Linked DNA regions of Zea mays. The protein of the gene in region 1 interacts with the protein of each later gene in a pairwise test. Links are inferred from orthologs where the notes say so. Each region holds a gene or a part of one and is shown in the gene's direction. Other genes may lie near its edges. The genes, in order: SCAR-like protein 2 and protein BRICK1.

What was found.
Region 2: the proteins of SCAR-like protein 2 (region 1) and protein BRICK1 interact in binary tests that used the Arabidopsis thaliana proteins (3 or more experiments, as listed by UniProt). The link is inferred for Zea mays from reciprocal best matches to the Arabidopsis thaliana genes WAVE2 and BRK1.

The regions. Positions count from the first base shown.
Region 1 is NC_050103.1:24,586,010-24,590,516, forward strand, and holds the start of SCAR-like protein 2, read left to right. Parts: upstream 1-1,582; 5' UTR 1,583-2,196; coding exon 2,197-2,384; intron 2,385-3,401; coding exon 3,402-3,565; intron 3,566-3,714; coding exon 3,715-3,838; intron 3,839-3,897; coding exon 3,898-4,030; intron 4,031-4,133; coding exon 4,134-4,237; intron 4,238-4,360; coding exon 4,361-4,507. UniProt on the Arabidopsis thaliana protein: Involved in regulation of actin and microtubule organization. Part of a WAVE complex that activates the Arp2/3 complex. Regulates trichome branch positioning and expansion.
Region 2 is NC_050100.1:225,127,364-225,131,101, reverse strand, and holds protein BRICK1, read left to right. Parts: upstream 1-1,657; 5' UTR 1,658-1,719; coding exon 1,720-1,852; intron 1,853-2,947; coding exon 2,948-3,069; 3' UTR 3,070-3,199; downstream 3,200-3,738. UniProt on the Arabidopsis thaliana protein: Involved in regulation of actin and microtubule organization. Part of a WAVE complex that activates the Arp2/3 complex.

The DNA.
Region 1 (4,507 bases):
GGCTCTGATGTGAATTTTAGGCCAAAAATTGAATTTCGGGCCCTAATGTGAATTTCAGGCTTTTATAATTTCGGGCCGGCCGAAATGAGCCCGACACGTTTAAGCAATTACGGGTCGGGCCGTGGACCGAAAGCTAGGCTCATGGGTCGGTCCGGGACGGCCCGAAATTCAAATAATACGGGCCTTTTCGGGCTTGGGCCGGCCGGGCGGCCCGAATGTACACCTATACCTCCATCTTTGTATTTGTCCGTCGCTACTCGCTACAGGTGCCATTATGCCAACAACCGAAACAGAATTCGACGCCCTTTCTTCCGTTGGAACTTGGAACCAGGTAAAGGCGGTTTCTATAAGACCGTCTTCAGCAACAGCCTCTATATTCATCTTTTATATCCGTTATTTACAGTCTTCTCTAATAATTTCATTCTCTATATCTTCTTCCTCTCCAATAACACTCTCTATACTCAAATATCTATGTTAAAGATATTTTATTTTTATTTTTTTACATACGTATTTGTAATACTCTCAAATGTATTGTACAAATTTTAGTTTTTCTAAACCGTTTATTTAAAGTATTTAAATAAATAGAGGTCCGTTTAGAGAAATTATAAATATATATAGAGAATCTAGCAGCATCCTCTTAATTTAGAGTATCGTTTAAAGAACGCTGCTGTAGAGCATGGATAACTGTTTGATCCTCTATATTTAGAGTAGATAACTTTTTAGAGGTCTTTGCTGGATCCACCATGTGTCGTCTATGGCTCGATGCTCATTTCCGCGTCCGCCCTCAGCCTTAGATTTGTCTAACGTATTAGGCCAGCCTGAGATTTAAGAAGTTTTTTTGTTAAAAAACAATCACTAAATATATATATATATATAATACTTTCATCAATTATATCTTCAAATAACTTCATTATAAAAATATATTTTATGATCAATCCGGTGTACGGACTGTACATCATAGAAAACACAGTTCCATTTTATATGCATCTAATCAAACATCTTTAAACAAAAAAAATTAAAGAAAGCCCCAATGTCCCCCCTTTTAGATTACATTACGTTACATTCCACGGGATCATTGAGCTAGCTAGAACAGGAACCACTGGCACCTGCTCAGCCGCCGCCATCATTAGTCATGCCCGACGGACCTCACATCAAGTACAAAAGCGCTCACGTAAACACTTGACCCAATAATTAGATCTACCCTAAGATCCGCCCACCCTCCTCCCAAAGGACATCTCAAAAGAAAAGAATGGCAGGCAGGTTGCCCGCCTGCAATGATTTAGGCAAGCTCTGTAACAACACAAACATTGTGTTTGTACGTACGTACACTTTTTTTTATATTTCACTCGCACAGTTTGACAAAAGGGGGAAAAAACAACAACACTCCAGTGAATTATTAAGAAAGGACTAATAATGTATAGAAGAAGCATCATCTCAATTCTCAAGCGCGGCGCGGCTGACATGACCAGGCCACCACCAAACACTAGACTGGACTGGCCCAAATCGCATGCCCCAAGATTTGATTCTGTTCAGGTCCCAAAGTCCACGGTGAACAACAACACGGCCGGCCGGCAGAAACCGCGGCCTGACCCGGCGGACGCGGGCACTGACTGACCGGAACAAAGGAAAGCCAAGCAGCAGCCGCACCGGCGCACGCACCCACGGCCACGACCCACCTGCGGGCGGCGCTCAACCCGAGTGGATGTGGACGGAGCCGCCCGCAGGCCGCACGACAGACAGAGATAGAGAGAGAGCACAGGCGGCCACGCCCGCTCCTACCACCGCACCGCATCGCCACTTACCCCTCGTGCCGCCGCGCTGCCTTTTCCTCCCCGCGTCCCTTTCGTCCCTCACCTTGTCGGAGACCGACGCACCCCCCCTCTCCGCTCTCCGCTCCTCCTCCCCACACCCCACCCCACCCGCTCTCCAGTCCACCTCACGCTCACACTCCCGCAGCCCGCCCGCCAGCCGCCATCCTGCTGCCACCTCTTTCTTCCTTGCGGGGGCGGCAACCAGGCGCACGGCACCTGCTCCCTCCCACTCCCACTCCCACACCGCGCCAGCCACCAGAATAAAGCAGCCGTTGCGGCGTCGCGTCGGCGAGCACAGCGCAGCGCAGCGCGCAGCGGCCCGGGTGCATGAGGAGGGGGCGGCGGCTGCCGAGGCCGAGGCTGTGACGAAGGAGCGCGGAGGGCGATGCCGCTGGTCAGGTTCGAGGTGCGGAATGAGGTGGGGCTGGGGGACCCCGGCCTCTACGGCGGCGGAGCTGCCGCTGCCGCCGCCGCCACCGCCGCCGCGGGGGAGGAGGAGCCCAAGGCGCTGCTCGAGGGCGTCGCCGTCGCGGGCCTCGTCGGGATCCTGCGCCAGCTCGGAGATCTCGCGGAGTAAGGCCCTGCTCCCTCCCTCCCTCGCTGCCTCCTCCTCCTGCCCGGTCTATGCGCGCCTTCGACCTGCCGCCCGCCGGTGCGCGTCTCTGTGGTCTGGTTCCCGCCTGGATCTGCTACGCTACGTGTTTAACGGCTCCCGGCGGGGATGGTTGGGTTTTTTGGGCTCGGCCCTGTGGTTGGGACTTGGGATTGGGAGAATGGGAGTGAGATGAAGTAGTGGGATCTGTTAGAGCAGTGTTGAGGTGGTTGAATTCGCTTAGGGTGAACGAGCGCTGTGATGTGCCATAGCAACAGGAACTGTTAGAGCAGTGTTTGCGTGTGCCGGCTGTTCAAAATTGTGGCACTATCTGGGAATGATTTGGATGTCCTTCTGTAGCAGCGGCGGTCTTTGGGTTTTTTTTTTCTGAGGTCTAGTGTTAGGACTGGATTGGATGGCGCTAAGGTTTCAGGTTTCCGGAGCGGCATATGGCATAACAGCTATATCTGCTGGGATCATTCAGCTGGTTTTTTTCGGCCGCATTCGCTCTTTAGAGGAGGACACACTTTCCTGAATCAGTGCTGATTGGCTTTGTTTCTCGGGTGCGACATGGAGGTCTTAAGTAAGATCTTGTCTTAGCTTACAATTTATGTTTGCAGAAAGTCTCTTTTTAATCTTGTATTCTTATATGAAGCAACTAGTGAGTTTTGAAAGGCTCTGTTTTAGAATTTAGATTGCTTAGCGGCTGTCTGACTGGACGCATTTTTGTTGGCTTGATGTTGGTAAATGTTTGTCTCAAGAGTTCTTTGCTAATTTTGGCTGGAGAATCTCCATGGGTTCTGGTAATTGCCATTTCTTGCTAGGGCAAAACTGTTGCCACTCCGAGGGGGTTTGTTTTTGTCTGTTAATGCTTCTATCATTTTTTCCCTTTGTATAACCTATGGACAGTTTACTTACGTACTGTGTTCCTTGATATACTAATAAATCTTAAAAAATAATATTTGGTGAAATTGATGTGCTAGCTTTGGTCATACCAGATTCGCGGCTGATGTTTTCCATGACCTACACGAGCAAGTTATAGCTACATCTGCTAGGGGTCGCAAGGTGCTGACTCGAGTACAGAACATCGAAGCAGCACTTCCATCTCTCGAAAAGGCTGTGAAGAATCAGAAGAGTCACATACATTTTGCCTATGTTCCGGGTAATTATTTATTCATTACTCCATTGATGTCTAAAAGTACCCTGATCATGATTGTCCATTATAGTATTTGAATGTCTCTCTTGTCCATCTTGAATTCTTTGAGATCAATATTATCTTGCAATCTTACAGAATTTACTAATAAAACACAGGCTCTGATTGGCACACTCAGCTTCAAAATGAGCAAAATCACCTGCTAGCGACTGATCTGCCTCGTTTTATGATGGATTCGTATGAAGAATGCCGAGATCCGCCACGGCTTTACCTTCTTGATAAGTAAGGGCTGAAGCTTTCCTTAATAAACATTTTTCATATCTAAAATTATTTCCTTCCAGATTTGACAATGCTGGTGCGGGGGCTTGTGTAAAGAGATATTCTGATCCATCTTATTTCAAGAAAGCATGGGATACGATGAGAGCAGATAAGAATGCTAATGTACAAAGAGAAAAGAGATCACAGAAAATTAAGGTTATATTCATTCTCAGTGTCTGAAGTCGATATATGTGCTTAGTAATATTTTTTCATGTTGGGATTTGCCGAAAGACTTAATAGAGCTTATGAACTTATACAGAGAAAAGGATCACGACTAAGGGAACCATATCATGGACAAGCCATGCCTAGGCATAGGGGCACTGAATTTCAGCGATCACTTACTGCTGGCCAACTTGTTAACAGGTGTTGCACATCCCATACTTTAAGATACAATAATTTTGTATCCGTGATCATCTTCTATGGCTGTTCCCTTCTTATATTTGAATGGCACATCCAGAACAGCATTTTTAATAGTGTATTTTCCAGCAGGCAGTTTGCATCTCCCAGCAACGATGGTCAGGGTATCTCAGAGCATAAGTCTACACCTGATGCAAGATCTAATCCTGACAATATGAGCAGATCTTCTTCTCTTAGTTCGAAGACACAACTGAGTTCAGTAGAACAAGCTATCGA
Region 2 (3,738 bases), on another chromosome or scaffold:
CTCTACTGGCTGACATGATCTCTGGCATCAGGGGATGCGAGCGGTCGCCGGCAACAAACTCGCAGACCACGCCGCCCACCTCTAGCATGCTGCACCCGGGCACCTTGGCCACCCTCCTCTCCTCCATGTCCCGCCGCACCTTGAGCACCTCCTCCCACTTGCCCCACCCGGCGTACATGTTGGACAGCTGCACGTGCACCCCGCTGTGGTCCAGCCCCAGCTCCGCCAGCCAGCGTACCACCTGCTCGCCGGCCTCCACGTCGCCGTGCGCCGCGCAGGCGTTCAGCAACGCGCCCAGCACGTACGAGTCGGGCCTCATGGGCATCGAACGCACGGCCTCCAAGGCGTCCGCCAGCTGTCCGGCGCGGCCCAGGACGTCCACCAGGCACCCGTAGTGCTCCACGCCGGGCTCCATGCCGTGCACCGCCCCCATGCTGCGGAACACCTCCTTGGCGCGGCCGACGAGGCCCGCGCGGCCGCAGGCGGTGAGCACGCAGATGAAGGTCACCTCGTTGGGGCGCACCCCTTCCACCAGCATCTGCCCGAACAGGTCGATCGCCTCCCCGCAGCGGCCGTGGTCCGAGAGCCCCGAGATCATGGCCGTGTAGGCGAACACGTCCCGCTGCCCCCGCGGTGCCGCCGCGAACACCTGCCTCGCCGTTTCCAGGCTCCCGCACTTGGCGTACATGTCCACCAGCGCCGTCGCCACTACGCCGTCCATCGCCACGCCGTGGCCGCCGCCGCCGACGAGCAAGGCGTGCACCCACCTGCCCTGGTCCAGCGCCCCGAGCGCCCCGCAGGCGGTCAGCACCCCGACCACCGCCGCCCTGTTGGGGCGGACGCACGACCTGAGCATGTCCTCGAACAGCCGCACGGCGTCGCCGAAGCTGCCCGCGGCCACGTAGGCGCTCAGCATGGCGCTCCAGGCGACATCGTTCCTGCGGGGCATTCCGTCGAACAGGGCGCGCGCCTCATCCACGTGCCCGGCCTTGGCGCAGGCCGTGAGGAGCGACGTCCAAGAGCACACGTCGGCCGCGCGGGAGGCGACGGCGCCTCCGAAGAGGCGGCGGGCGGCTGGCAGGACGCCGTGGGTGGCGTAGGCGTGGATGAGGCCGTTGGCGACGTAGGCGTGGGCGTCCCAGGCCAGGACGACGGCGAGGGCGTGGAGACAGGGCACGATGGCGTGGGAGCCGAATGGGGACTCCGGTTCCAGATACGGTGGCGCTGACGAGTCTGCGGCGGCTTTAAGGAGGAAGGAGAAGGTGTAGTTGTTCGGCCGGAAGTCGGGGATGATGCGGCGGAGGCGCGGGAACAGGCGGAGGGCGCCGAGCGGGTGCGCTGGGAGCAGCGAGCGGAGTAGCTGGTTGGGGAGGAAGCGGTCGGCGAGGAGGAGCGTGGAGGAGCGGAGCAGGTGCCCGTCCACCTGCCGGAGCTGAGCGGCGCTCAGCGACGGCCGGCACAGCAGCTGCAGCGCCGCCGCCGTGGCTATTGATTGCATAATTGCAGTTGCTGCCCATCTCCAGGCCCACTGGGTATCTCAGGCACTTGGGCTTTGTATCGGCTGAGATTGCGAGAAGGGCCCGGCACAACCTGGCCCACTCACACCAACCATCCAGCCTGGCCTTCCAAGACAGAAGAGGCAAGCAACAGCCGAGGCAGAGGACAGTTTAGTTGGTGCTGGTGCTGGTGGAGGAAGAAGCAGCGCAGCAGGTGGCAGGGATGGGTCGCGGCGGCGGGATGGGGAACCCAGTCAACGTGGGCATCGCGGTGCAGGCGGACTGGGAGAACCGCGAGTTCATCTCCAACATCTCCCTCAACGTCCGACGCCTCTTCGACTTCCTCCTCAGATTCGGTCAGCTCCTCTTCCATTCCATTTCCCCGCGGCCTGCCCTCTCTCGATCTGGATCTCCAACTTTTGGATCTGGTCCGCCGCCTTCGTGCTTCATACCATACCACGCGGAGCTTAATTGTCCTTGCTACCCGCATATTACCTTGCCCTGCCCGAGCTTATGTTTAGTCATTGTGGGATGGCAGACAATTGCTCAAACTACCCATGAGACCGGATGCTTTAACTAGTCATTGTGGGATAATCAATATTCCGGCGACGTTTGAATTGATGTCAGACAACACATCCTAACAGCCATCCATCTACATAGCCTGCCTACCTACTCGTTCGGCCTGTTGCTACTTACCAGCCTCATGCTCGTTGTCAATTAGGCTCGGGTTTTGCATGGAATGGCTGTAACTTGCGGTCACTAAGTACCTTTTAAAAAATAGTTGATAGTTGAATCCCACACAGCACCAACATGGGATTCAGACCTCACAACCACTTGTTGATAGTTGGATCTTTTGATGGTATGTGAATCCCTTTCGAGTTGCTGTGGGAGAAGCAATTGTTGTACATGAGGATGCAGCAAGAGCTATGGGAAGGAAACGCTTATGAACAATAGATACCTGGTCGTCCTAATTTCATGGTAAGTACGAAGGGAACATATCGAATACAAACCATGTTTTGTTGTAAATCCCGTGCAAATCTACTAAAAAAGTTTTAAAAAAATCTTAAAAAAACATAAATGTACATCTAAGCTTATCTTATCTATATGCAAAATTTCATGGTCAAATTCATCTTACTCTAGCAGTTACAAAAAAAAGACAAATTTTGGTGCATTTGAACTATTATTGTTTGTCAGATTTTTTGTTTTTTTTTTGTATCTGCTAGAGTAAGATGAATTTGACCATAAAATTTTGTGTATATATGATGTAACCTCAGATGTACATTCATGTTCTTTTTCAGAAATTTTCGGAACTTTTTTTAGTAGGTTTGTATAGAGTTTGCACCAAAATATGGTTTGCATTAGATATATTCCCATCTATCATGCATGTGTGTTTGCTACTTAACTCTGACCATCTACTTTGGAGGAGTTACTAAAGATGTGCTTGCTTGCAGAAGCTACGACGAAGAGCAAGCTGGCAAGTTTGAACGAGAAGCTGGACATCCTAGAGCGGAAGCTGGAGGTGCTTGAAGTCCAAGTGGGCAGCGCGACGACCAACCCTTCCGTCTTCAACTAGGAATCGCGGGTTTATATGTATAAATAAATAGATAAATGTAGGTATGAATGTTGCTTGTACCAACGAATTCTGGTCGCTATCAATCATGTAATGTAATGGATTTTGTTATTATTATTGTGGTATGTGTAAAGATGTGCAGAATTGAAAAGATAATAATAGTAGAATGGAGATTGGGTGGGGGAAGAAAAGAAAAAAAGGCAAGTGGTCCTGGTGCTGTATCGCCTTGCCACCACACAACAATAACTATCTTTCCTCCCTTTGGTTTGGTTGGTTTCTTTCTCTCCTCTCTCCTCTCCTCTCCTCTCCCCGTGGCCACACCACAGCCGCCGGAAGCTCCTCCTCCTCCTCCTCCTTCTCCATGAGAGAGATCTAGCAAAGCATAGCCTCCTTCCTGCTGGCGGGATCTCCTTTTGATTCGTAACTTGTACCGTCTCTCTCTGCTACTTTATAGTATTTTTTTCGTTTTAAGGATCTTGCTTATTATTAATTTTTAGGATCTTCAACTCTTCATGTATGCGAATTTCATATGCTGCTAGTCGAAAGATGCAAAAAAAAAAAACAGGGGCATTCCGAGAATTGAACTCGGGACCTCTCGCACCCTAAGCGAGAATCATACCACTAGACCAAATGCCCTGTGTTGCGCTAACGACGGTCCGTTCTTGTAGATAA